4 linked regions of the Anolis sagrei genome follow. The protein of the gene in region 1 purifies or fractionates together with the protein of each later gene. This does not show direct contact. Links are inferred from orthologs where the notes say so. Each region holds a gene or a part of one and is shown in the gene's direction. Other genes may lie near its edges.

Region 1 (7,905 bases):
AATATTTCTGTAGTGTAGGTGCTTACAACTGCATGTCTCAAAATGTGGCCAATAAAAGGGTAAAATTACTTATATATAAATAGTTAGCCACTCAGTTAGCTCTAGCAAACTTCTTATGATCTGGCCAGAGGGGAATAATTTATGTTGCATGTCTCGCAAAGGATCCTGGCACTCAAAAGTGGAAAACAGCCTGCTATACTACCAGTTGCTTCTTTGCAATTTAAGCAGGCGTGCATTTTGCTAACTTAGGTGTTTTGTTCAGCTGAGCCCTATGCAGATGGAGGGAAATGTCATTTCATTTGTTGCAAGTGGCTTGCTTTCAAATAATGCTTAGATCCTTGATGAGGTGGATAGAAAAGAGAGAGTAAATCGAAAAGACTACAGTCTTAGTTGCACCAAAGATATATAATAATCATTACTCTAATTTAAGCCACATTGGTTTCAATTAACTCAGAACCAATCCGGTTCAATTAAACTTAGCAGTCAAGTAAACTTTGACTTGACCCGATGAACAAGAGACTTCTATAGGTGCACCTATACTGTAGAATTAATTTAGTTTAACTGCTATGGCACAATACTATGGTATTCTAGGATTCTGCAGTTTGGAGAGGCACCAGCACTTTGGCACAGAAAGACTTTGTAAGACTACAGTTCACATGATTCTAAGGCACTGAGCCATGGCAGTTACTGGTTTCAAATTGCATTGATTCTACAGTGTAGAAGATGCACCCAAAGTCACCTAAATAGTAACAGCCCTGCTTAGGTTTTGCAAATTCAGGGCCATGGGAACTTGCATTGAGACCCCTTCTAGGGCCCTTCTACACCACCATATAAAATCCACATTATCTACTTGGAACTGGATTATATGGCAGTGTAGATTCATATAATCCAGTTTAAAGCAGATAATGTGAATCATCTGCTTTGATAATCTAGATTATATGACAGTGTAAAAGAGGCTAATGTATTGATTGTCTACTTGAAAGTTATGTAAATAATCTGCAGTCATAATTTTTATTAATTTATGAAGCTGCCCAATCCTTTACACTTCCCTTCGTGACTTTATTCTATAACCCTTCCGAGTCTTTCCCCCCCCCTGCATAGTGGTATAGTGTCATCTGCATATCTTAAATTGTTGATATTCCTTCAGTGTTCACTCCTCTTTCCTCCTGTTTTAGGTAGGATATATTCAGCATAAAAGTGATAAAAGGCGGTTTTACCTGACCTTTCTGGCAACTGGAAACCACTCTGGGCCCTCTACATTGTAGAATTAATCCAGTTTGACACCGTTCAGTGCCATGGGTTCATGGGTTTTGTAGCTTTACAAGGTCTTTCACCTTCTCTGCCAATGAATGCTGATGCCTCACCAAACTACAACTTCCACGCTTCCTTAGCGTTCAGCTATGGCAGTTAAAATGGTGTCAAACTAGATTAATTCTACAATATAGATGCACTCTCTGTTTGTCCACATTCTGTCCACATGGACAGAATGAGAATAGAGCAGGACAATAAAATGTTGCAGCCTTAAGAGAGATGTATAATTTTGGGGGAAAAAATCACATTCATAGGTTTGCTATCATCTATCTTTCTATCTATCTATCTATCTATCTATCTATCTATCTATCTATCTACCTATCTATCCATCCACATAATATATATGTGTGTATGTGGCTAGGGTGTCCACTTACAGAGACAAGCTCCTGCCTCCACAAACAGCTATAGCTCCCACTGCTCAGGAGACACAAATGGCCCTCCCTCCAGTGACATTGAAGGTTATAGAGAGCACCATGAACATGCCCAAGAGCCAGGCATGTAGCCGGGGGGGGGGGGGGGGGGGGCTCGGGGGGCTTCAGCCCCCCCCCCCCCCCGAAATTTTCATGGTGGTTCGCGAAAAGGCCTTATTGGTGCATTATTTAAACTGTTATGTTTATTCATATCATGATCTGATCACCATACTCAATATATCCCATATGCATGGGGATATTGGGGTAATGATACAAAAGGTTTGCTAGGCTAGACCCTCTTTCACTCAGACTCAGCCCCCCCCCGAAAATCAGCCCCCCCCCAAAACCCCCCCTGAAAAAAAATCAGCCCCCCCCCCCCCCCGAAATGAAATCCTGGCTACGGGCCTACCACGAGCCCTGTCAGTGTCTTCCACAAACACAAGCCTGCCCACCACCCAAGTGAAAGCTTTCATATGGGTACATTTTCACCCTAGAGTTTCTGTTTTTCCTCCACCACAGGCATCCCAGTATTTCTGACTCTTTCCATTAGTGTGGAATTTGCATGACCCCACCCACTGCCTCTCCCTTAACCCTTTCCTATTCTTTTCTCTAGCACACAGAAGCAGAGGAATTGATCAGAGAGGTTTGGGGAGAATTCACTATTATTTATAGAAGCTGTAGGTACTGGGATGTATAGTTCACCTGCACCCTAAGAGCACTCTGAACTCCAGCAACTATGGACCTGGAACTAACTTGGCACATAGAACCCCCATGACCAACAAAACATACTGGACTTGGAGCAATTTATAGGAGTTGTAGTTCACCTACATCCAGAGCGCACTATGAACCTAAATAGCGATGGATCTGGACCAAACTTGGCATGCATACCTGATATGTCAAAATTTGAATACTGGTGGGTTTTGAGGGGAATTAGCCTTGACATTTTGGAGTTGTAGGTACTGGGATGTATAGTACACCTGCTATCAACAAACACTTCAAACTCCATTAAAGATGTAATTAAACCAAGCTTGGCACACAGAGCCCCCATGACCAGCAAAAAATACTGGAGGTATTTGGGAGAAATTTACCTTGATTTGGGGGAGTTGTAGTTCGCCTACATCGAGAGAGCACTGTAAACCCAAACATCGATTGATCTGGACCAAACTAGGCACACAGACCTGATATGCGGAAATATGATTATTGGAGGGGTTTGGGGGAGTTGGCATTCCTTTCTGGAAGTTGTAGATCACCCACAACCAGAGAAACTGTGACTTCCACTAATGAGGGACCTCGACCAAACTTGGTGCTCAAAGCCCCATGACTAACACAACCTACTGGAGGGGTTTTAGGGGACTGACTCACCATAGTAGGAGTTGTAGTTTACCCTACAGCCAGAGAGCGAATTGAACCCCATCAATGATGCATCTAGACCAGTGGTTCTCAACCTGTGGGTCCCCAGATGTTTTGGCCTTCAACTCCCAGAAATCCTAACAGCTGGTAAACTGGCTGGGATTTCTGGGAGTTGTAGGCCACCAACCCCCCTCCCCCCCCCAAAAAAAACAACACCTGGGGACCCATAGGATGAGAACCACTGTCCTAGAAGAAACTTGCCCAACATAACAAACTTTTAAGTACTGATGGAGCTTTTGGGGTTAACCTGGCATAATGTGAGTTGTAGTTTACCCACTACCTTATGTATTTTGTACAATTAAAAAATAGTCTTTTCAAATAACCCGGACAATGCCAGCTACCAAGCTACTAATATTTAAAACACAGGCTGATTTTCCTCTGCAGTTTTTAGAAATGCATTATCCAACATATCTTTGCAAGTATGTGTGTATGTGTACGTGCGTGTGTATATACAGTAGAGTCTCACTTATTCAACATAAACAGACCAGCAGAACATTGGATAAGCAAAAATGTTGGATAATAAGGAGGGATTAAGGGAAATCCTATTAAATGTCAAATTACGTTATGATTTTACAAATTAAGCGCCAAAACATCATGTTTTACAACCAATCCACAGAAAAAGCAGTTCAATATATGGTAATGTTATGTAGTAATTACTGTATTTAGGAATTTAGCACCAAAACATCGCAATGTATTGAAACAGCTGTGGATCCGGATGGGAAGCAGAATACGTTGGATAATACAGAACGTTGGATGAACAAAGGTTGGATAAGCAAGAATCTCTGTGTGTGTGTATACACACAAAAAGGGAAGGAGGGAGAATTTAAAAAGAAGAAAAAAGTATATCTCATGGAACACCAATTAAGTGAAAGTTTGTATCTCATCAGGTAACACTGAGAGTGCCATTTTGGGCAGCTTTATTTGTCAAACAGATCTAGAATCCCAATTAATTTGGGAGAAGGGGTTTGACACAGAAAATTGAAGAGTGAAGTTTAGTGTGATGCTGAGGAATGTCATATATGACTATGTATAAATGAATGGATGAGTATAGTGAGAGGCACAAAAAAGATGACTTTCATATATGAATATGTAAAGTGAATGAATTGATTAGTATAGTGAGGGGCACAAAAATATGAGTTTCATATATAAATATGTATGTATGCATAAATGACTGGATGGATGAGTATAGTGAGGGGCACAAAAAAGGATGACTCCCATGGTGGAAATGGGAAGATCTCAACTGTTGCTGCCACTTGCTTGAAATATCACATCTTCTCCTTTAAGGATCCCTCTTCATCCTAAACACCCCAAATGCAGTATGATAAATAAATTAATTGATTCAGTATGGGATGAAGAAGGATCCTTAAAGAGGACGAGAGGATAAAATGTTTAGAAGCTGGGAGGGAAAGGAGGAGGAGGAGAGAGAGAGAGAGGACATGGCCGAGGGCAGAGAAAGGCAAAGGGCGAAAGTGGTTGAAGCCCCACTGCTCTCACTCAGCTCATTCTTCGCCTCTAAAGGGAACGTCTACAAACTATCAGGAAATTTGTGCGGCAGAAGGGTGGCGCGCGTGACGTCACAGGCGAGGATTGTCAAGGCGGCGGAGGGAGGGGAGGGGGAGAGAAAGAGCGCGCTTTCGTCACAAAGGGGGAATTTCCCCCCTCTCCCTTGGAGGGAGTGCTCGGTGGGAGGGGTAGTCCAGGGCGAGGCAGGGAGCCGGGAGGAGAGGAGGGAGCCCGGAGCGCCGAATGGAACTCTGGGAGGCGTGACGTCTGCCCTACAAGCCCCGCCCCCTCGGCACAAGCTATATAAAGGGCGCCGCTCACCGCTTCGGTCTTTTTCGCTACGGGTTTGCCGCTGCTTCGGAGGTGAGTCTCTGCCACGTGTGTTGCGGGAAGGGGAGGAGGCCTGGGCCTAGGCCGGGCGGGGCCCACGTGTTTCCATCGGGGACAATGGCGTTCGACGCCTGAAAGGGAGGGGACTTGTGGGGGGAGGGGATGGGACACGCGTGTCAGCGCGTACACACGTTACGTGTATGTGAGAGGGGTCGGGAGGGAATGGGGGCTTGTGAGAGGGATTGGGAAGGAATGGGGGCTTGGGGAAAGCTTTTTCGGGAACGCGTGTCTTGCTTTTCCGTGTCGAGCTTGGCAAACACGTGTCTCAATTTCGGATTGAAATGCTGTCGTTTTGAGGATAGCGCGACGCTTTGTTTCTGCTCCTCATCTCGTCAATCCCCACTCCCCTTTTGTGTGGTTGTATTGGCTGGCCTTCGTTGTAATTGCGTTCCTGACGCCCTCGTTGTTGCATATTCAACTCAGCGTTCTTTTCTATTACTCTGTGTGTGTAATCACTACACAGAGTAATTGGGGCGCCTTTCCATGGGGAGCCACTGATGCCGCACTCCCTCTCGCCCTGCCTCTCTCTCGTTCTCTGGGAAGAAGCCTTTTGCCTTCTCTCGCTTCGCTGTGGGGAAAAAATGGCGGCGGCTGTCGCTGCCACAAAATGGAGGGCGCGCGGGCGGGGCGCGTGCCGGCCGGAGGGAGAAGGAGGGAGGGAGGAAGCGAGCGCGAGCCGGGCCCTTGAGTGCGCATGCGCGGCTTCGCACACAAAGGGAGTCTCGAGCCGCCCTCGCTCAGTTTTTCCTCTTTCTCTGCCTCAACCCCTTATTAACTGGGCCTTTTTAAACTCTTGCGGCCACGACGACACGCGAAAGACTTCGGTGAGGAAGAGTGGGGGGAGCTTGGGTTTCCGCCCCGCTGACGCAACGCCCCTCCTCCTCCTCACTGCCGCCACCTTGGAGCGGTGGGTGGAGTTGAGCAACTCGAGGCAGGCTTCGGGCCTAGCTCAGGCCTACACCTCAAACAGCATCTGCCTGCGCGCTTTCCTCTAACGCAATGGTTCTCAACCTGTGGGTCCCCAGGTATTTTGGCCTACAACTCCCAGAAATCTTAACAGCTAGTAAACTGGCTGGGATTTCTGGGAGTTGTAGGCCAAAATACCTGGGGACCCACAGGTTGAGAACCACTGCAGTAGATAAATATTTTGCCTTTTTGCGTATTGTTAATTAGCAGGCTCTGATCTCTTTTAATTTTAATTTTAAATGATTTTTTATTTATCCCCCCAAAAAACAAAAGGTTTTTTATCTGAAGCGGGCGAGAACCACCTTATTCATCTGCCAAAATGGGAAAGGAAAAGACCCACATCAACATTGTGGTCATCGGGCATGTCGACTCTGGCAAGTCCACCACCACTGGTCACCTGATCTACAAATGTGGTGGGATCGACAAGAGGACCATTGAGAAGTTTGAGAAGGAAGCTGCTGAGGTGGGTATGGCACCCCTGGTGTAATTTCCAGTCTAACATCAAAACAAGGGATTTTTGATCAATTATAATTTTTCTTTTAATTTTTCTGATATTAAATTTATTAAATGTTGGTGCTTTATGTAAAAAAATTAAATGGAATAAAAAAGGATGAGAATGTAAGGCTACATTGATGTGAACCTGTGTAGTTTAAGAGGACTGTTCCCTAGGTTTCAAGGGAAAATTAGTCTAGGGCCCCACCTACCCTTGCCAGTTCCCTTCAAACTGTGGTCCCTTCTACACTGCCATATAATCCATTTCAAAGCAGCTGCCCTGAGTCTGTAATGGGGTGGTGGTGATGCAATAAATCATTATTAAAGCAGATAATGGATTTTATATAGCAGTGTAGTAGGGGCTTGTGGTAGCCAGGCAAGAAACGCTCAGAAAAGTACACAAAAGGAAGCCCTTTATACACATCACTGGTTTGTGGTAATCGCCAGGCCCCAGGCTGATTTCTGTAATCAAAATGGCATTAAATGGTCATTGTAGATGGGGCCTCTCAGATCTTACATTATAGCTACACTATTTAATCTCTACTACAATGCAACCAGTATACTTGATTTCCCAAGTCTCTTCTGCTTGTATTTAAGGAGTTCATTTATTGTGGTAAATTGTAAATGGTAAACATCTAAAATGTGTAATTTTAAAAATGCACCACGAGATGTTTTGTGTATCTATGTCAGTCTTGTAGTCCTCCAGGTGCCAGAATTCTGGACTAAGGGACAACCTGACTAGGGCTTCTGGTAGTTGGGGTCCTAAAAACCTGCCGGGCTACATAAATATAATAATCTTCTGGCTTTAGTTTAGAATGGGATGCTTAGCAGAATTCACAAGTTAAATGGACATAGAAAATATATGGAGGAGCCAGTGAATGTGCCATGTATCTTGTCAGTTATTTGGCTGTTACATCTGTAAGCTTTGAAGTAGCTGTTAAGTAATTAAACAGTTCAGCACTGTATTAAGTGTCACTGGGTTAAGTAAGCAAAACAGATTTGGAATCTCACACTGCCTCTGCCAAACTGTGCTAAATATAGTAATGTGTGTATTACATTTCAGTGTGTTTGATGCTTGACGTCTTGAGCAAGTTCTTTCTGGCAACAGTTAACTTCTCTGTAAGATGTGTTAATCTAATTGCCTTTTTCTTGTTCAATAAACAGATGGGCAAAGGCTCCTTCAAGTATGCCTGGGTGTTGGACAAACTGAAAGCGGAACGTGAACGTGGTATCACTATTGACATTTCACTCTGGAAGTTTGAAACAAGCAAATACTATGTCACTATCATTGATGCCCCTGGACACAGAGACTTCATCAAGAACATGATTACTGGAACCTCCCAGGTAAGCAGATTATGGTGTTTTGGGAATCTAGAGTAAGATTTACCTGTGTTGAGAAAATACATTCAATTTATTACTGTCT
Region 2 (7,170 bases), on another chromosome or scaffold:
TTGCCAGTGTGATGTCTATACTCTTCACTATTTTATCAAGATTGGTCATTGCTCTCCTCCCAAGAAGTAATTGTCTCCTGATCTAATTGTCTGCATCTGCAGTGATCTTTGCACCTAGAAATACAAAGTCTGTCACTGCCTCCATGTTTTCTCCCTCTGTTTCCCAGTTTTCAATCATTCTTCTTGCCATAATCTTGATTTTTTAATGTTTAACTGCAACCCAGCTTTTGCGCTTTCTTCTTTCACCTTGATTAGAAGGCTCCTCAGCTCCTCCTCACTTTCTGCCATCAGAGTGGTGTCATCTGCATATCTAAGATTGTTAATGTTTCTTCCAGCAATTTTCACCCCAGCCAGAAAAAGAAAATAACAATATAACACAATATAATTCCAATAATACAATATAATATTGTAATACACAATACAGTAATATTAATATTATGCTATGTGAATATAATATGTTGTATATACATATATTGATATTATAATATAATCCAATATAATTCTAGTAATACAAAATAATAAACATTGTAATATAGGTAAAGGTAAAGGTTTCCTCTGACATTAAATCCAGTCATGTATGAATCTGGGGGTTGGTGCTCATTTCCATTTCTAAGCCGAAGAGCCGGAGTTGCCGTAGACACCTCCAAGGCCATGTGGCCAGCATGACTGCATGGAGCACTGTTACCTTCCCGCCGGAGCGGTACCTATTGATCTACTCACATTTGCATGTTTTCGAACTGCTAGGTTGGCAGAAGCTGGGGCTGAGAACGGAAGCTCATGCCGCTCTCCACATTCGAACCTGTGACCTTTCGGTCAAGAAGTTTAGTACCTCAGCAGTTTAACCCACTCTGCCACCGGGGGCTCCTACACTGTAATATAATAATAGTAAAATTGCACTGTGCGAATATAATATATTGTATATACATATATTGATATTATAGTATAATCCCATATTTCTAATAATAACACAATATAATATACATTGTAATTTAGTAATAGTAATATTGTGCTATGCAAATATAATATACTGTATATACATATATTGATAATATGATAATATAATACAATATAATATATATTGTCATATAATACCAATATTGTACTATGTAAATATATAGTATATACATATATTGATAATACAATACAATACAATACAATCTTAATAGTAATAATACAATATATATTGCAATATAGTAATACTAATATTGTGCCATGCAAATATATTGTATATACATGTATATATGGGCGCTAGAAACAACATCATACGAAAGCTGACTGGCACAACCTGGGGATCACAACCAGACACAGTGAAGACATCTGCCCTTGCGCTATGCTACTCTGCTGCTGAGTATGCATGCCCAGCGTGGAACACATCTCACCACACTAAAACAGTAGATGTGGCTCTTAATGAGACATGCCGCATTATCACAGGGTGTCTGCGCCCCACACCACTGCTTAGCCGGTATTGCACCACCTGACATCCGCCGGGAAGTTGCAGCCAGTAGTGAAAGGACCAAGGCAGAGACATCTCCAGCTCATCCCTTTTTTATTATTATTATAACTTTATTTGTACCCCGCTAGCATCTCCCAAGGGATTCGATGCGGCTTACACAGGCCGAAGCCCAACACAATACAACAATACAATACCTAAGAAAATAAAGCAAATCCCTTGTACGGTTCCGGTCCAGCGTATCTGTCCGAACGTATCTCCCTCTACGTACCACCCCGGACCTTGAGATCATCTGGGGGGGGCCCTGCTCTCGACCCCACCACTCTCACAAGTGAGGCTGGTGGGGACGAGGAGCAGGGCTTTCTCAGTGGTGGCTCCTCACCTGTGGAACTCACTCCCCGGGGAAATCAGGGCAGCAGCATCCCTCCTCGCCTTTAGGAGGAGGGTGAAGACGTGGTTGTGGGACCAGGCCTTTGGGCACTCCAGCAATTAAAGCAGACATTCAGGCGAGTAAGACCAGCAGGACTGATGAAGTGGAACAGGAAACTAGAACTATGAATGAGCAAACGCTGACCATGTAAAAGGAGAAATTGGGTTTGTATGGGGGTTTTATTGATTTTATGGGAATAATGTATGAATTTATGTATGAATTGTTAATTGATTTGATGTAATTTTGTGTACACTTGTTTTATGATGCAGGCATCAAATTGTGCCTTGCTACTGTAAGCCGCCCTGAGTCCCCTTCGGGGTGAGAAGGGCGGGGTAGAAGAACCCCAAATAAATAAATAAATAAAATATCAGCCAGCACGCCAACGACTTAAATCAAGACATAGTTTTCTTAGATCTACAGAGACACTCGCTGGAACACCCCAGCAAGCGAGAGTCCAAAAGTGGCAGGCCCAAACCCAGCACCTCAATCCCTGGGTGATACCAGATGAGAGACTCCCCCTGGGCACACAGAAGACTGGGCGACTTGGAAGCGCTGAACAAACTGCGCTCTGGCATCACGAGATGCAGAGCCAATCTTAAGAAATGGGGCTACAGGGTGGAATCCACGGCATGCGAGTGTGGAGAAGAGCAAACCACTGACCACCTGCTGCAATGCAACCTGAGCCCTGCCACATGCACCATGGAGGACCTTCTTGCGGCAACCCCAGAGGCACTCCAAGTGGCCAGATACTGGTCAAAGGACATCGAATCAACATTGAATCAATTACCAAGTCTGCAAAATCTGTGGGTTTTTTTAAACCTGTTTGTTTGTTTTGTTCTGTTAGAAATGTAATACAATGGTATGGTTGCTGATGACACGATAAATAAATATATATCCAGTGGGTTAAAGCACTGATCTGCTGAGCTTGTTGATCGAAAGGTCACAGGTTCGATTCTGGGGAGCGGCGTGAGCTTCCGCTGTCAGCCCTAGCTTCTGCCAACCTAGCAGTTCGAAAACATGGAAATGTGAGTAGATCAATAGGTACCGCTCCAGCGGGAAGGTAACGGCGCTCCATGCAGTCATGCCGGCCACATGACCTTGGAGGTGTCTATGGACAACACTGGCTCTTCGGCTTAGAAATGGAGATGAGCACCACACCCCAGAGTCAGACATGACTGGACTTAATGTCAGGGTACTACCTTTACCTTTACCTTTAGATACATATATAGATAATATAATACATTACAATCTTAATAATAATACAATATATATTGTAATCTAGTAATACTAATATTGTGCCATGCAAATATATTGTATATAGGTTCTTGTGGGTTTTTTCGGGCTATAGGGTCATGTTCTAGAGCAGGGGTCAGGAACCTTCGGCCCTCCAGGTGTGGTGGACTTCAACTCCCACAATTCCTTGAGGCTCGGCATTCGCTCCAAAGGCTTACCTTGGCCTCAAGGAATTGTGGGAGTTGAAGTCCACCACACCTGGAGGGCCGAAGGTTCCCCATGCCTGTTCTAGAGGCATTTCTCCTGACGTTTCGCCTGCATCTATGGCAAGCATCCTCAGAGGTAGTGAGGTCTGCAAGCCTTCAAATGCTAATGAAGGTGGCCAGTTGAAACATTCACACCTAGCTCCAGCAGAGCTCTTTGCCCCACCCTGGTCATTCCACAGATATATAAACCCATTGTCCTACTTCCAGCAGACCTCACTACCTCTGAGGATGCTTGCCATAGATACAGGCAAAACGTCAGGAGAAAATGCCTCTAGAACATGGCCCTATAGCCCGAAAAAACCCACAAGAACCTAGATTTTATTATTGTATATTTGCCATGTTTTTGATTGTGAGCCATTATTTTGCCATGGAAGAATGGGATTTTACAATGTCTGTAGCCTTCTGTGACAAAGAGTACTGGTACCTCACCAACTTAGCAGTTAAAGCAGTATCAAACCGCATTCATTCTGCAGTGTAGATGCATCTTGGACCTTGGGTGATGTTTTACCCTGGTCTAGGCGTGGCGAGGACCACCACCATGTGGGCTAGTGCAAACCCCCATGCAATGGCGCCCGTCTTCTCCCAACAAAAGGGAGAGCTGCAGTGCCCCCCTCCCACTTTCCCCATTGCTGCGCCTGCTGCCACACCCAGCTCTGCTCCGAAGCCCCCTCCCTCTCCCGCTACGTGTCTCTTTCCGCCGCCGTCCAATCAGAACGCCGCTCCTGACGCCCGCGGGCCAATGGGAGCGCGGACCGCCCGCCAGTTTATAAAACCTTTGTCTGGGCGCCCGGCCCGCCTTCCTGCCTTCCCTCTGCGTCGCCTTCGGAGGATCGAACCTTGAGCTCCCCAACGTTCTGAGTCTTAAAGGAGCGGCGCGCCTCTGAAGCAGAAAGGAACGAGGGAAAAGTAATTAAGAGGGGGGAAAGTGTTTTGAAAGCCAGGCAAAGATGAGGGAAATCGTGCACATTCAAGCTGGGCAATGTGGTAACCAGATCGGTGCAAAGGTGAGGATGGGTCATTGAGGTATATATTATTAAATTGGGGTTGCAAAAAAAGAAAAGTAATTCAAGCAATATAATTTTTCATAATTCAGGAGATTATTATTTTAAAATGTGGCCGAAAGGAAGTAGTCGGCAGAGCTGCACATTGGATGTAAAATATTGGCTTGGGAGGGGAAGGACTCGTTTTAATTCCTTTCAACAACAAGGAAAGGAAGGTGGGGCTGTAACGCTGCTTCCGGGGCTGTAACGCTGCTTCCGTTCCTTACAAAACGCTCTCCTATTGCAAAGTCATTTTTCTTTGGGGGGGCGCGCACATTAAATTTAAAATATTGGCGTGGGAGGGGGATGACTCGTTTTAATTCCTTTCAACGACAAGGAAAGGAACGTGGGGCTGTAACGCTGCTTCCGTTCCTTACAAAACGCTTTCCTATTGCAAAGTCATTTTTCTTGGGGGGGCGGGCGCATTGGATTTAAAATATTGGCTTGGGAGGGGAAGGACTCGTTTTAATTCCTTTCAACGACAAGGAAAGGAACGTGGGGCTGTAACGCTGCTTCCGTTCCGTACAAAACGCTCGCCTATTGCAAAGCCATTGTCTTTGGGGGGAGGGGGAAGGGGTAAAGGAAAGCTGGGTGGGGCGGCAACGAGATCCAAACGCTGTGAAAAGGAACGACGTTAAATAAGAACGCGCCATTATGCTTCCTCTTTCCCATCCCTATAATCACAGCGTTTTCCCAATCTCCAAGGTGTTCTTTCTCCCGCTTAACTACTCTGCTATGGAAAGTAACTCGTTACTTCCTCCTAAAGGGCGTGGAATTTGCTTCCAAAAGCACATTTTCCCCAAATATCTCCAGTGTTTTTCCTTATTTAACTACTTTGCAACGGAAAGTAACGCGTTGCTTTTCCAGAAGGAACGGCGTTACTTAACTGGCGTGGAATTTGCTTCCTCCCATAATCACAGCGCTTTCTCCATATCTCCCAAGTTCTTTCCTTCCGTTTAACTATTTTTAACAATGTAACGCGTTACCTCTCCCAAAGGAACGGCGTTACTTAAGGGGCGTGGGGTTCGCTTCCTCTTAACATGCATTCAGGTGGTGAAAAGGGAGGGAAGGCGCCCCCAATTCCCCGCCAACTAACGTCCTCCTTAACGTTTTTAGCGCCAAGGAGCTGCAACCAGGAGGAGGGATTTGAATTTTTTTTTTGCTAAAGGAAGTGGGAGGGGAGAAAAAGGCATGAGGTTTCCCGCACGAGGCTCTGAAGTGTGGGGTGAAAATAGCGGGCTTTATCTCTATATACCTTATCAATATCTTTTAACCATTGCTCTACAGTCTCTTTGTAATAAACACACATAAAGGGTTGGAGTTGGAGCAACAATGAGTAGCCTCTCCATTGTAATATGAATGCAGCTTGCTCCCATTATTAACTGCCATGGCTAAAGGGTGTGGAGTCCTGGGATTTGTAGTTTGGTGACACATAGAGTTGGAAGAGACCTGATGGGCTATCCAGTCCAACCCCATTCTGCCAAGAAGCAGGAAAATTGCATTCAAAGCACCCCCGACAGATGGCCATCGAGCCTCTGTTTAAAAGCTTCCAAAGAAGGAGCCTCCACCATACTCCGAGGCAGAGAGTTCCACTGCTGAACGGTTCTCACAATCAGGAAGTTCTTCCTAATGTTCAGATGGAATCTCCTTTCTTGTAGTTTGAAGCCAAAGTCAAAGAAACTATAAATCCCAAACAAAAAGAAAAGCCACGGGGCAGAGAGTTCCACTGCTGAACGGCTCTCACAGTCAGGAAGTTCTTCCTAATGTTCAGATGGAATCTCCTTTCTTGTAGTTTGAAGCCAAAGTCAAAGAAACTATAAATCCCAAACAAAAAGAATAGCCACGGGGCAGAGAGCTCCACTGCTGAACGGCTCTCACAGTCAGGAAGTTCTTCCTAATGTTCAGATGGAATCTCCTTTCTTGTAGTTTGAAGCCAAAGCCAAAGAAACTATAAATCCCAAACAAAAAGAAAAGCCACGGGGCAGAGAGTTCCACTGCTGAACGGCTCTCACAGTCAGGAAGTTCTTCCTAATGTTCAGATGGAATCTCCTTTCTTGTAGTTTGAAGCCAAAGTCAAAGAAACTATAAATCCCAAACAAAAAGAATAGCCACGGGGCAGAGAGTTCCACTGCTGAACGGCTCTCACAGTCAGGAAGTTCTTCCTAATGTTCAGATGGAATCTCCTTTCTTGTAGTTTGAAGCCAAAGCCAAAGAAACTATAAATCCCAAACAAAAAGAAAAGCCACGGGGCAGAGAGTTCCACTGCTGAACGGCTCTCACAGTCAGGAAGTTCTTCCTAATGTTCAGATGGAATCTCCTTTCTTGTAGTTTGAAGCCAAAGTCAAAGAAACTATAAATCCCAAACAAAAAGAATAGCCACGGGACAGAGAGTTCCACTGCTGAACGGCTCTCACAGTCAGGAAGTTCTTCCTAATGTTCAGATGGAATCTCCTTTCTTGTAGTTTGAAGCCAAAGCCAAAGAAACTATAAATCCCAAACAAAAAGAAAAGCCACGGGGCAGAGAGTTCCACTGCTGAACGGCTCTCACAGTCAGGAAGTTCTTCCTAATGTTCAGATGGAATCTCCTTTCTTGTAGTTTGAAGCCAAAGCCAAAAAAACCCTATAAATCCCAAACAAAAAGAAAAGCCAAAAGCCAGGCATGTGTTCCTCAAAAGGAAAAAAAGTGCCTACTTGGGAAATACAATGTGTCTTATTTTAAAACTGCTTCAGAGACACCAATAAACTCGTTAT
Region 3 (7,089 bases), about 56 Mb from region 1:
TTGGCACACAGAGCCCCCATGACCCACTCTATATCCTGCTGCTGTTTGGAGGAGGATGGGCCATGGATGATGGGACTTCAAGTACCTTCACTCACTTCCTGAAAATAATGCAGCCGTTATCCAAAGACCAATAAAGACCTAACTTGGCATACAGAACCGCCATTACCCACTTTCTCTAATAACCCGGGCAACGCCGGGTCCCCAAGCTAGTATATAATAAAGAAGAGTGTTTGTATCGGACAGAGGAATTGTGGAGGGAGGGCGGAAGGGCGGTGTATGTGCCAGCATTCTGACTGGCCAGCCTGAAAGTTCCAACATTCGGATTGGCTGCCGCAGTGGTGCTATTTGCATATGGTCTCTGATTGGCCAGCTTCAATAGGAGCCCCCGGTGGAGAAAACAGTTCATGGCAGAAACGGGGACATGAGAAGGAAATTTGCATATGGTCTCTGATTGGATAGCTTCAATAGGAGCCCCTGGTGGAGAAAACAGTTCATGGCAGAAACGGGGACATGAGAAGGAAATTTGCATATGGTCTCTGATTGGATAGCTTCAATAGGAGCCCCTGGTGGAGAAAACAGTTCATGGCAGAAACAGGGACATGAAAAGGAAATTTGCATATGGTCTCTGATTGGCCAGCTTCAATAGGAGCCCCTGGTGGAGAAAACAGTGAATGGCAGAAACGGGGACATGAGAAGGAAATTTGCATATGGTCTCTGATTGGCCAGCCTCAATTCCATGATTCCGAGATGACAAAGAGAGGAAAAGAAAAGGCCAGAGGGGGCTGAGTCAAAACATTACCAATACAGACCAGACTTGGCATACAGAGCCCCCATGACCCACTTGACATCCTACTGCAGTTTGGAGGAGGATGAACCATGGATGATGGGACTTGCAGTACCATCACTCACATTCTGAGACCGCTGTTAACCTTATCCAATGACTGATCATGACCAAACTTGGCACATAGACCTCTCATGACCCACTTTACGTCCTGGTATGGTTTGGCCGGGGATGGACCGTGGATTATGGGACTTGCAGTACCATTGCTCAATACTTCAGACAACTGCAACCCTCATCCAATTACCAATAAATACCAAACTTGGCACACTGAGTCTCCATGACGCACTCTACATCCAGGTGCAGTTTGAAGGAGGATGCACCATGGACGATGGGACTTGCAATACCTGCACTCCCTTCCTAAGACCATTATAACTGCCAACAATGATGGATCAGGACCACAATTTACACAGAGAGCCCGCATAACTCACTCTACATCCTGGTGCGGCTTGGAAGAATTTGACAATGGATGATGGGACTTGCAGTCATTTCACTCACTTCCTGAGACCACTGAGACCCTCGCCAATGACTCATCAAGACTAAACTTGGCACATGGAGCTTCAATGACCCACTCTACATCCTGGAGCAGTTTGGAGGACGACAGACCATGGATGATGGGACTTCAAGTACCTCCACTACCCAAGACTGCTGCAAAACTCATCTAATGGCCAATCAAGACCAACGTTGGCACACAGAGCCCCCATGACCCACTCTACATCCTGCTGCAGTTTTGGAGAAGGGTGGACCATGGATGATGGAACTTCCAGTACCTTCACTCACGTTCTGAGACCTCTGCGAACCTCATCCAATGACGGATCAAGACCAAACTTGGCACATAGACCTCTCATGACCCACTTTACGTCCTGGTGTTGTTTGGAAAACTTTGGAGATGGATGATGGGACTTGCAGTACCTTTGCTCACTTCCTGAGACCACTGAGACCCTCGCCAATGACTAATCAAGACTAAACTTGGCACATGGAGCTCCAATGACCCACACTACATCCTGCTGCAGTTTGGAGGAGGACAGACCATGGATGATGGGACTTCAAGTACCTCCACTCCCTTCCCAAGACTGCTGCAACCCTCTTCTAATGACCAATCAAGACCACACTTGGCACACAGAGCCCCCATGATCCACTCTACATCCTGATGCAGTTTGAAAGGGGATGGACTTTGGATGATGGGACTTGCAATACCTTCACTCACTTACTGACACCACTGCCACCCTCATCTAATGACTGATAAAGACCAAACTTGGCACACAGAGCCCCCATGACCCACTCTATATCCTGCTGCTGTTTGTAGGAGGATGGCCCATGGATGATGGGACTTCAAGTACCTTCACTCACTTCCTGAAAATAATGCAGCCGTTATCCAAAGACCAATAAAGACCAAACTTGGCATACAGAACCGCCATTACCCACTTTCTCTAATAACCCGGGCAACGCCGGGTCCCCAAGCTAGTGGAGAATAATAGTGGGTTGTTGTGGCAAGCATCCTCAGAAGTAGACCTCACTACCACTGAGGATGCTTGCCATAGATGCAGGTGAAACGTCAGGAGAGAATGCTTCTGGAACATGGCCATATAGCCCGAAAAAACCTACAACAACCGTGATTCCGGCCATGAAAGCCTTCGACAATACAATAATATAAGACGGAGGTCCTATGGCTGGGTCGACCGGGCAGTGGGGATATCCAGATGCCTACCTGGATGGTGAGGCGCTACGCCTATCATCATTGGTAAAGAGTCTGGGAGTCCTTTTGGACCCTCTGCTGACGATGGAGGCCCAGGTCTCCGCCGTTAGGAGAACCGCTTTTTTTCATCTGTGGCAGGCTAGACGGCTGGCCCCCTACCTGTCCAGGGACGACCTAGCTACGGTGATCCAGGCCACGGTCATCTCAAGACTGGACTACTGTAACACCCTCTACATTGGCCTTCCTCTGTCGGTGATCCGGAAGCTCAAATTGGTACAAAATGCAGCTGCTCGGCTTCTTGCGGGAATTCCGATGAGATGCCACATAACACCAATCTTAGTACAGCTGCACTGGTTACCAATTGAGCACCGGATCACTTTCAAAGTGATGGTACTCACCTTTAAGGCCTTGCATGGTCTGGGGCCGATGTACCTGAGTGACCGCCTCACCCCCTACCAACCCCAGAGATCCCTCCGTTCTGAGGACCAAGATCTATTGGAAATTCCCAGTGTCAAGACCTTGCGCCTAACAGCAACCAGACGCAGAGTCTTTACAGCAATGGCACCATCACTCTGGAACACTCTGCCACCTGAAGTCCGTGCCTTGCGGGACTTACCAGCTTTCCGCAGGGCATGGAAGACATACCTGTTTTGGCAGGCCTTTGATTTTTGATACTGCTGTGTTTAAATTGTTTTAAATTGTGTTAGATTTTAGCCATTCTTGTAAGCCGCTCCAAGCCCCAGGGGAGTGGCGGCATATGATATAAGTTGGAATAATAAATAAATAAATAAAAATAGTTGTGATACATCTGGGAAACGTGGATCCCTCAGGAAACTTGCTTATTTATTTATGTATCGTGTCAGGAGTGAACCAAAACAGTTGTATTGCATTAAAAACAAACAAACCACAAAATTTGCAGACTTGGTATTCTATTAGATGTCCTTTGACCAGTAGCTGACCAAAAGGAAACCTGCTAAACACCTTCAATTCAGGCAGTAACAAGAGGGAGGACTCAACCATTGAAGAGGTGATGGGGGGAATTGGCCCTCCCTTGGCCTTGGCGGGTTATACCACTTTACAACAAGGGCGGGGGGGGGAGTCCTTTCCAACTATGGCTACGACGCTTGAGAGAGAAAGATGCGGTCGACCCGTCAAGGGCGTTGCGTTGCTCAGTGCCAACGACCCCGACAGAGGAGTGAGGGGCAGCGGCGTCGTGTAGCCCAGCCCGCCCGGCAGCCCTTCTCCCTCGCATTACCTCTTCAGGCGGGGGCCGCACCGGCCCCAACGACCCAAAACAACGCCTCCCCACGAAGGTCTCCGCTTCGCTCTGGCAATATGGCGGCGGCTTCGGCAATTTCCGTGGCGAGTTCGGCAATCTCCGGCTCCTCCGACGTCACATCCGGGCGGGGGGCAAGTCAAGGAGACGTTCCGATGCCGCGAAAGGGGGCGTGGCCTCGGAACCTTGGGAAGATTGCCTCAGAAATCGTCTTCCGCGGCGGAAGGATACGTCACGCGCAGACTATATAAGCGTCGCCGGAAAGAGGCGCGGCCTTTTCGTGCGGCGGCGACGACAACGTGTCTCTCTCTCTGTCTGTCTCTCGCCGCCATGGGTTTCGGGGACTTGAAATCTCCCGCTGGCCTCCAGCTCCTCAACAACTTCTTAGCGGACAAGAGCTACATCGAGGGGTGAGCTGGCCGCCTTCTCCCTCTCGCCCGCTTCCAGGGAGGCTTTGAAGCGAGGAAGAAAGGCCACCCGGCGCCACTTTCAACCGCCATGGCTCAAGCCTACAGCATCCGGGCATCTGTAGTTTGGGGAGGCCCCGGCACTCTGAGGGCCCTTCCACGCAGCCATATAACCCAGTATATCCAAGCAGGAAATCTCACAATGTCTGCTTTGAACTGGGTTATCTGAGTCCACACTGCCATATATCCCAGTTCAAAGCAGATAATGTGGGATTTTCTTCAGCTTTGTGGAAGAAGCCAAGGCTACAGTAAGGCTCCTTCTAGACAGCCATATAATCCACATTATCAAAGACGATTCACATCTGTGTGTCCAGTAATCATCTTCTCTGTATCTACAATTTGGTGATGGATCTGGGCATTGTATGTTTTTACCCCGTTTCCCCTTCTGCTCCCTCACCCATATTGTGTTTTTCGTAATATTTATATTTTAATGTACCAAACATGCCAGGTTTGTATGGAAATGTGACACTATTTCCTGTGCTGGTCAATGACCGAAATAAATATTTTGATTCACATCTGCTTTGAACTGAATTATCAGTGTACACTACCCATTAATCCGATCCAAAGCAGGAAATTGGATTTTATATAGCAGCGTAGAAGGGACCAAAGGCTGTGTCACTAGTTTTTCTTTCTAAAGCTCCTTCCACACAGATGTGTAAAATTCACATTGAACTGGATAATATAGCAGTGTGGACTCGTAATATAATTCAAAGCAGATATTGTGGATTGTCTGCCTTGATATTCTGGGTTATATGACTGTGTGGAAGGGCCTCAGATTGCAAAAAGCAGGTTTTTCCTTGCTGCTCCCTCTGCGAAGGCCTTGAAAGTGTTACTTCCTGTTTAATTGTGCAGTACTTACTTTGAAAGTAATTCTTATAATTCTCCAGAAACTTCATTTTTGTGGCTGCCACAAACTATGTTGAATTTATTGTCAAAGGCTTTCATGGCCAGAATCACTGGGTTGTTGTAGGTTTTTTCGGGCTATATGGCCATGGTCTAGAGGCATTCTCTCCTGACGTTTCGCCTGCATCTATGGCAAGCATCTTCACTACCTCACCTCACTACCTCTGAGGATGCTTGCCATAGATGCAGGCAAAACATCAGGAGAGAATGCCTCTAGAACATGGCCATATAGCCCGAAAAAACCTACAACAACCCTATGTTGAATTTGTTGAGACTCTACTACAAGGTATTGAAACTCTGCAAATGTGCTGTAGAATGACCCACAAAAACAAAGTTTTGCAGTTTAATACCTATGTTTTTATAATAGAACCAAATAGGAAATTATATTTATAACCCAGGAACAAAAATCCTCTCACGAGATGAGTTCATGGTTTGTGCTTATTCGCATCAGGTACCTCCTGCTGCTTAGGTTGGATCTACACTGTCATATGATCTAATTTCTAAATCCAGATTATCTGCTTTGACCTCGATTATATGAGTCTACACTGCTATATAATACAGTTCGAAGCAGATAATCTGGATCCAGAAACTGGATTATATGGCAGTGTAGATGGGGTCTTAGTAAGGCCTTCATTAACTGCTGCCAAGTAGACTTCTACTGATGGTGACCTCCAAGTTATCCCCCCCTTCACAGTTAGTAGTTAGTTATGCCTTTTTTCATAATGGTTTGGATTACATTCTCATATTAAGACAGACCCACAGACCATTGGTCTATATACCCCAGATTTATTTTTCTTAGAATTCTGTGAGCACTGGATTCGCCAGAAAGACATATCCTAGATCAAATCAAGCCTGAACTTTGGAGCCAAGATGATTAAACTGAGACTGTGGTACATAGAACATAAAAAGACATGGCTTGCTAAAAGAGACAGTAAGGCTTGGGAAGATAGAACGCAGTGGGAATAGAGCAGGCAGGGGACAAACTTCAGCCCTTCAGATGTTTTGGACTTCCAACTTCCACAATTCCTAACATGCCTGGAATAAAGGAAGGCCACATTACGCTTCAGTGAAGAAAGTCTTGAGTCTACAAGACCTTAAGAGGGCTACTAGTAAGAGGGTGACTTGCTGATTGCTGATTCTTAGGTCATAAGTCAAAGTTGCCTTAACAGCAGTTAACAGACCCATATTAAACTCTGCATCATCTTTGTAGCCCAGATTTGTTTCTTTCCTGGGTTTGTCTAGGGCAGGGCTCCACAAATTTCTTTAAACAGAGGGCTGGGTCCGGAGGGCCGGATTATAATTTGAAAAAAACATGAATGGATTCCTATGCACACTGCACATACCTTATTTGTAGTGCAAAAACACTTTAAAACAATACAATAATTAAAATGAAGAACAATTTTAATAAATATAAACTTATTAGTATTTCAGTGGGAAGTGTGGGCCTGCTTTTGGCTGATGAGATAGGATTGTTGTGGTGTGCCTTCAAGTCGTAACAAACTTAGATTGACCCTGAGCAAGGGCCAGGTAAATGACCTTGGAGGGCCATATCCAGCCTCCAGGCCTTAGTTTGAGGACCCCTGGCCTAGGACATTTGTTCATGATCATTTTGTTTGGGGTGTTCCTTTCTCCCATAGAAAGCAGTGGATATATTTTTTTGCTCGTATATCTTTATCACATTCATTGCTAATTAAAATCCATCTGTCAATTGCAACACAAATTGGGAAAGCTACTTTGGATTGCAGCTCCCAGATCTCCCAAATGCCATGGCTAGGAAAATCAAGAAATAGTAACACTGTGTAACATTCTTGTTCCTGAGTTATAAATGTCATTTCCTAATTGGGTCTACCATAAAAACAGGGAAAATTTATTTAAACTACAAAAACTGGTTGTTTTTGGTGGACATCCT
Region 4 (7,366 bases), on another chromosome or scaffold:
AAACAATGGATATAAATAGATGTTGCAGACACTTATTGTTTTCTGAGAGAATACTTCCTAGAAATGCCTAGGCCCTCTAATTGAATGATTAACGGTAAGACACGACTAATCAAATCTGCAAATGCTCACCTTCAAATATAGAGAATTATGGATATGTATAGAACACACATTTTTCCTTTGCTTATTTATTTACAGTATTTATATTCCACCTTTCTCATCCCAAAGGGGACACAGGGTGGATAAGAGAACACATATTCGGTAAATATTCAATGTCGATTATACAATGACAAGACAGGCAACAGATAGTAGTATTATATCAGCTTTTCCCTATCTTTTCGGCATCTTTGGAGGCTGTGCTCAGTTCCGGCCACAGGGGGATGTTGTCGCTCCATCTCCTTGCTGAAGAGCATTCTTCGTTGGTAAACTTTTTTCTTCTTTTTTCTCTGATTGAAAAACTGTGCTTAAAATACCTCCCTACTTTAATGCAGTTCCTGTTTATCTACTATTTGCTGTTTTTGATCTGCTCGTTGGGCGGGTAGTTGGGCTGAAGGTCAGGAGCTCACCCTGACCCAGCTTTGAACTGTCAACCTTTTGGTTGGCAACCAAGATTTATTGCAGCTATAGCTGGCGATTAACCTGCTGTGCTAAAGCCAGCTTATGTAGTTTGAGGCAGCTCTCCCTAGAAGCCAGGATGACAAAACAGAGAGTGCTGCACTTTCAGCATATCATATGGAGTCCCCGGTGGCGCAGTGGGTTAAACACCTGTGCCGGCAGGACTGAAAACCGACAGGTTGCAGGTTTGAATCTGGAGAGAGGCGTATGAGTTCCCTCTATCATCTCCAGCTCCTCATACGGGGACATGAGAGAAGCCTCCCACAAGGATGATAAAAGCATCAAATCATCTGGGCGTCCCCTGGGCAACGTCCTTGCAGACAGCCAATTCTCTCACACCAGAAGCGACTTGCAGTTTCTCAAGTCACTCCTGATATGACAAAAAAACAAAAAGCATATCATAAGAAGGATTGACTTGCTAGAAAATACAACACTATGCAACATGATTTTTGGTCCTGGGTTATAAATGTCATTTCCTAATTGGTTTGATCTTAAAAACAAGGAAAATGATTATTAAACTTCAAAAAATTGTTTTTGCAAGACATCCTGCAGCACATTTTGCTATAGTTTTTCAATGAATATCTCGAGTCTCAATCAATTCACCTTACTTTGTGGCAGTCACAAAAATGAAGTTTCTGGACTATAACAACAATTTTCAAAGTAAGTACCACATACTTAAACAGGAAATAACTTTTTCAAACCAGGAATACATTTTTTTCATGCGGTTTCTCAAGTCACTCTTGACACGAAAAAAAAATCACTTTGCCATTGGTCTTGTTTAGCTGGGGAACATGGGAAACAAAAAGAGTGGGCCAAACCATATTATTCTATGATTGCACACCACAGTATTTTTAAAAAGCCCTGCTAATCACGCATAGTGTTTATTACTTACTTAGGCAATCCCTTGTAGTCCGAGTAGGATTGTCATCCAAGATCGATGTACTGGCGGTGGGTCCGTAGGTGACTGTGGAGCCCTATTCTTGATCTGCATCTTCTGAAGTGAGAGCATTGGTTTCCAGGTGGAAGGCGGTCCCGGTCGGGATTGGCTTGACGTGTCTTCCTCTTGGAACATTTCTCTCTGTCTCCCTCCATTTGTGCCTCTTCAAATTCTACAGCATTGCTGGTCACATCTGACCTCTAGCTGGAGGGCTCAAGGGCCAGGGCTTCCCAGTTCTCCGTGTCTTATGCCAGAGTTTTTGAGGTTGGCTTTGAGCCCATCTTTAAATCTCTTTTCCTGCCCACCAACATTCCGTTTTCCATTCTTGAGTTTGGAGTAGAGCAACTGCTTTGGGAGACGGTGGTCGGGCATCCGGACAACGTGGCCGGTCCAGCGGAGTTGATGGCAGAGGACCATCGCTTCAATGCTGGTGGTCTTGCTTCTTCCTGCACACTGACATTTGTCTGCTTGTCTTACCAAGAGATTTGCAGGATTTTCTGGAGGCAACACTGATGGAATCGTACCAGGAGTTGCATGTGATGTCTGTAACAACAAACACAAATCCACTACAAGTCGTAGTACATAATTCACAAAGGTAAATGTTTTTTTCCAGCTTATATAATGCAATATTAAACTTATAACCAACTTATATGATATCATATAAGTTGATTATAAGTTTAATATTGCATTATATAAGCTGAAAAAAAATTACCTTTGTGGTTTATGTACTATGACTTGTAGTGGATTTGTGTTTGTTGTGATTGTGGAAATCCATTGTCTTATGTGACGTCTGTAGACAGGCCACGTCTCGCAGGTGTATAGCAGGGTTGGGTGGACAATGGCTTGATAAACAAGCCCCTTGGTATCCCTACAGATGTCCAGGTCCTCAAACACTGTGCTTCATTCGGAAAAATGCTGCACTTGCAGAGCTCAGGCGGTGTTGTATTTAAGTGTCGAATGTGGAGAGGTGGCTGCCAAGGTAGCGGAAATGGTCAACATTTTCTAATGTTTCACCATTAAGCTGTATTTTTGGCATTGGAGAGGGATTGGCTGATGACTGCTGCAAGAGCACTTTGGTTTTCTCGATATTCAGTGACAGGCTGAGCTTCTTGTATGCTTCTGCGAAGGTGTTTAGAGTGGCTTATTTATTTATTTATTTATTTATTTATTTATTATATACCATCCAGTCTCAACCTCCGCAGAGGGACTCAGGACGGCTAACAAAACGGCACCCCATGGTGCCCATACCAGAAACATAAAAATACAATTTAACAGCAATATGGCAATAAAACTGTATAAAACAATCCAGCAGTCAGCAGTTTGAATCATCATCCAAGGGGCAATCAGTCAGTTCTATAAAAGTCGTCATATCAGCAACTCAACCTAATCTAGCCAGGATTTCACTTGTTTCCGGAAGGTCAAGAGGGATGCAGAAGATCTAATTTCACTTGGGAGGGAGTTCCATAGCTGAGGGGCCACCACAGAGAAGGAACCAGGCTTTTGGCTAATGGATATAACAGCACCTGAACAGTGAATTGGACTAGACGGTTGTTATAATGGAACTGCCTTTATGATTGGATAACTAACATTGTTTTAATGTATTATATTGTATGATTTTATTTTGCTATTATAATTGTAATTATTGTGGCATCGAATCGTTGCCATTGTTAGCTACTCTGACTTCCCATGAGGAGGTGAGAAGAGCGGGGTAGAAATGCTGTAAATAAATAAATAAAATATCCCTTGTCACAACCAGACGTGATTGCGACAATGGGGGGACAATGAGCAGGGTCTCCCTGGATGATTTTAGGGCCGTAGGTGGATCGTAGCGGGAGATACGTTCGTACAGGTAAACTGGACCAGAACCATTTAGGTCAGTGATGGGCAACCTTTTGAGCTTGGTGTGTCAACATTTGCCAAAAACCTGAGCATAACTTGGGTGGGGTGTCAACTTCAAGAAAAAAACAACATAATTTTGCAATATTTATAGTTTAAATAAGAAAAATGTATATTCCATGCTGAGTTATGGAGTGAACAATGCTCAAACGTGCAAATGTTAAATTTGTAGAGCCTTTTACAAATTTAAGGATGGAATTAGATTGGCTGTTATAAGGTGTACTTCTCTGTCTGTGGCCGCATGTGGCCACGTGTCATCAAAAATAGCGATGCGTGTCAGTGCTGACACACGTGTCATAGGTTGACCATCATGGATTTAGGTCTTCTTCTGAATGCGCACAGATGACGTTGTCATCAGCATACTGGAGTTCTATAACACATGTTGTAACCTTGGTTTTGGCTTTCAGTCTGCTGAGGTTAAATAGCTTGCCATCTGTCTGATAGATGATTTCCACTCTGGTGAGAAGCTTCCCATCAACAAGATGAAGAATCATAGCTATTTTCCATAGTGTTTATCACAGAGATATCAATGTTGAGAAATCTCACTATATACATTTATGGGCTAATAGTCTCCTAATAAGAGAACTTTGCCCGGAAGTTCTGCATCTGTATCACTCTAACTGTTTTTCTCTGTGGTCAGTTTTAGACTTTTTGTCACTCCTACCAATAAGAAGAGGACCCTGCGAAGGGCTGTCTAAGCAACTGCCTTTGTGAAAAAAAATAAATCCCCATTCACTCGAATGTGCATGATGCAACTGGTTTGTAATCATTAGGAGTGAAGGCTCTCCTTCCTTCTAGGAGAGGAAGCGGTATTCAATTGCATTACTTCTACAGTGTAAATTTACTCAAAGGCACAGGGTTATTACAGTGCTGTTTCCTTAACTTTGCGCACCTAGTATTCCTCCTGCTTGTAGATACATGAGACAGGCATTGCTGTAGACGCCTACAGAAGGGGTCCTTCCTCCAAAAGAAAAAGCAGCACGTGGGGGAGAGGCTGGGACCGGCTGGCAGTGCAGGTAAGAAGGAAGCCCTTCCTGTCCCCATTCCCTGCTGGGACCCTCCCAACTATTCAATAAGTACTTCCCCTTCTTTAGCCTGTGCTGTCAACTCTTTTCTCTACTTCCAAGAGACTTGGATTTCCTGCTTCTTCCCTTTGCAGTTCATTGCAGCTCTGAGTGCATCTACACAGTGGAATTAATGCAATTTGATACCACTTGAACTGCCAAGACTCAGTGCTATGGAATCCTGGGAGTTGCAGTTTGTAAGGTCTTTAGTTATTCCTTCCCCACCAAAGTACAACGCCCAGGATTCCATACCATTGAGAGATGGCACTCAAAGTGGTGTCAAACTGCATTAAATATGCAGTGTAGACATTAATTCCCAGTTGTCACTTTAAAGAATCCAGATCTTGTCAGATCTTTGAAACTAGAATCCTAGAGTTGGAAGAGACCTTATGGGCCATCCAGTCCAACCCCCTGCCAAGAAGCAGGAAATTTGTATTCAAAGCATCCCCGATAGATGGCCATCCAGCCTCTGTTTAAAAGCTTCCAAAGAAGGAGACTCCACCACACTCCGGGGCAGAGAGTTCCACTGCTGAACAGCTCTCACAGTCAGGAGGTTCTTCCTAATGTTTAGATGGAATCTCCTTTCATAGAATCATAGAGTTGGAAGAGACCTCATGGGCCATGCAGTCCAACCCCCTGCCAAGAAACAGGAAAAATGCACTCAAAGCACCCCCGACAGATGGCCATCCAGCCTCTGTTTAAAAGCTTCCAAAAGAAGGAGCCTTTACCACGCTCCGCGGCAGAGAGTTCCACTGCTGAACGGCTCTCACAGTCAGGAAGTTCCTCCTAATGTTCAGATGGAATCTCCTTTCATAGAATCCTAGAGTTGGAAGAGACCTCATGGGCCATCCAGTCCAACTCCCTGCCAAGAAGCAGGAAAATTGCATTCTAAACACCCCTGACAGATGGCCATCCAGCCTCTGTTTAAAAGTTTCCAATGAAGGAGACTCCACCACACTCCGGGGCAGAGAGTTTCACTGCTGAATGGCGCTCACAGTCAGGAAGTTCTTTCTAATGTTCAGATGGAATCTCCTTTCCTGCTTCGTGTCCTAGTCTCCAGGACAGCAGAAAGCAAGTTTGCTCCCTCCTCCCTATGATTTCCTCTCCCACATTTATACATGGCCCTCATCATACCTCCTCTCAGCCTTCTCTTCTTCAGGCTAAACATGCCCAGGTCTTTAAGCCGCTCCTCATAGGGCTTGTTCTCCGGGCCCTTGATCATTTTTGTTGCCCTCTTCTGGACACATTCCAGCTTGTCAATATCTCTCTTCAATTGTGGTGCCCAGAATTAGACACAGTATTCCAGGTGTGGTCTAACCAAAGCAGAATAGAGGGGTAGCATGACTTCCCTGGATCTAGGCACTATACTCCTATTGATGCAGGTCACAATCCCACTGGCTTTTTTTTTTTGCCGTCGCATCACATTGTTGGGTCATGTTTGACTTGTTGTCCACGAGGACTCTAAGATCTTTTTCACACGTACTGCTCTCGAGACACGCCTCCCCCATTCTGTATCTTTGCATTTCTTTTTTTCTGCCTAAGTGGAGTATCTTGCAACTAAGCAGGGTCAGCTCTATTTCGCCCTTGCAAGGATGCTGTAGTGCAGGCATGGGTTGTTAGGAATTGTGGGAGTTGAAGTCCAAAACACCTGGAGGGCCAAAGCTTGACCATGCCTGCTGTAGTGTGTTTCAAAAGAAGGAACGGGCAAAACCACATCTTGAATATTCCTTGCCTGAGAAAAACTTACAAAATTAATAGTTAGTGATGAGTCCACAGTCAGACTTGAAAGGACACATACAAATATAGGCAATCCCCAAGTTACAGACATCTGACTTATAGTTAAGAACGGGGGTGAGACAACAAGAACTGAGAGAAATCGACTTATAGGAAGGGAATTTTATTCCTGGGGGAGTTATCATGGGGAAAAGGTATCTCCATTGAAGCTTTCTCACCCATCCTTGTTTCCACAACAAGTCATAATATTCAAATTCCACACCTGGAATACTGTGTCCAATTCTGGGCATTGCAATTCAAGGGAGATGTTGACAAGCTGGAATGTGTCAAGAGGAGGGTCTGGAGAAAAAGCCCTATGAGGAGCGGCTTAAAGAGCTGGGCATGTTTAGCTGCAGTAGAGAAGATTGAGAAGAGACGTGATGAGAGCCATTTATAAACATGTGTGTGTGGGGGGGGGGACATCATAGGGAGGCGGGAGCAAGCTTGTTATGGGATGACTGTATATAAAAAAAACTGGGAATATTTTATCCTTCATAGAATACTCCTTGGGACCTCTATCCTAATGCCTGAAGATCTAAGGGTGCATTTATGCTATAGAATTAATGTAGATTTAACTCCACTTTAACTGCCTTGGCTCAATGCTATGGAATTTTGGGAGTTGTCGTTTTACAAGGTTTCAGTCTTCTTGCCAAAGGGAGATAGTGCTTCATCAAATAAAAAATCATGGATTCCCAAACATTGAACCATGGTATCAAATTGCAATTATTCAGCAGTTTTGATGCACTGTATTATAGAAAAGATACCCGAGTCCTAGAGCCATCTGGATAGCATCTCAAGCATAAAAATAATGATTTAGAACAAATTTAGGAGAGTTCCTGAAAAATTAGATTCCTTTCTTTCCTGGATTCAGATAGTTGAGGTAATAACATTTCCTCCTCCTATCTCTTGGGACACCGTCTTTTCCCCATATGGCACTGCAGAAGTATTTTCACTAACTCTCTTCTCTCAGCATAATATAACTATCATGCACAGTGTTTATATTTATTCTCTACACAGACATATAGCATGCATTCAGGAAAGGTGGAGAAAACACTGGCTTTTGTTCCTCTTGAGTCATTGAGTT

Evidence for each region.
Region 2: the proteins of EEF1A1 (region 1) and TUBB fractionate together in Homo sapiens (co-fractionation; 3 studies listed by BioGRID). This does not show direct contact. The link is inferred for Anolis sagrei from reciprocal best matches to the Homo sapiens genes EEF1A1 and TUBB.
Region 3: the proteins of EEF1A1 (region 1) and EEF1B2 purify together in Homo sapiens (affinity purification with mass spectrometry; 3 studies listed by BioGRID and IntAct, counting the BioPlex papers as one, with this or other methods). This does not show direct contact. The link is inferred for Anolis sagrei from reciprocal best matches to the Homo sapiens genes EEF1A1 and EEF1B2.
Region 4: the proteins of EEF1A1 (region 1) and VARS1 purify together in Homo sapiens (affinity purification with mass spectrometry; 3 studies listed by BioGRID and IntAct, counting the BioPlex papers as one, with this or other methods). This does not show direct contact. The link is inferred for Anolis sagrei from reciprocal best matches to the Homo sapiens genes EEF1A1 and VARS1.

Annotation. Positions count from the first base shown.
Region 1 is NC_090021.1:111,735,215-111,743,119, forward strand, and holds the start of EEF1A1 (elongation factor 1-alpha 1), read left to right. Parts: upstream 1-4,894; 5' UTR 4,895-4,997; intron 4,998-6,263; 5' UTR 6,264-6,309; coding exon 6,310-6,453; intron 6,454-7,646; coding exon 7,647-7,826; intron 7,827-7,905. UniProt on the Homo sapiens protein: Translation elongation factor that catalyzes the GTP-dependent binding of aminoacyl-tRNA (aa-tRNA) to the A-site of ribosomes during the elongation phase of protein synthesis.
Region 2 is NC_090022.1:21,651,693-21,658,862, reverse strand, and holds the start of TUBB (tubulin beta chain), read left to right. Parts: upstream 1-4,152; 5' UTR 4,153-4,326; coding exon 4,327-4,383; intron 4,384-7,170. UniProt on the Homo sapiens protein: Tubulin is the major constituent of microtubules, a cylinder consisting of laterally associated linear protofilaments composed of alpha- and beta-tubulin heterodimers.
Region 3 is NC_090021.1:168,211,074-168,218,162, forward strand, and holds the start of EEF1B2 (elongation factor 1-beta), read left to right. Parts: upstream 1-4,071; 5' UTR 4,072-4,140; coding exon 4,141-4,220; intron 4,221-7,089. UniProt on the Homo sapiens protein: Catalytic subunit of the guanine nucleotide exchange factor (GEF) (eEF1B subcomplex) of the eukaryotic elongation factor 1 complex (eEF1).
Region 4 is NC_090022.1:21,196,297-21,203,662, reverse strand, and holds the start of VARS1 (valine--tRNA ligase), read left to right. Parts: upstream 1-4,352; 5' UTR 4,353-4,461; intron 4,462-7,366. UniProt on the Homo sapiens protein: Catalyzes the attachment of valine to tRNA(Val).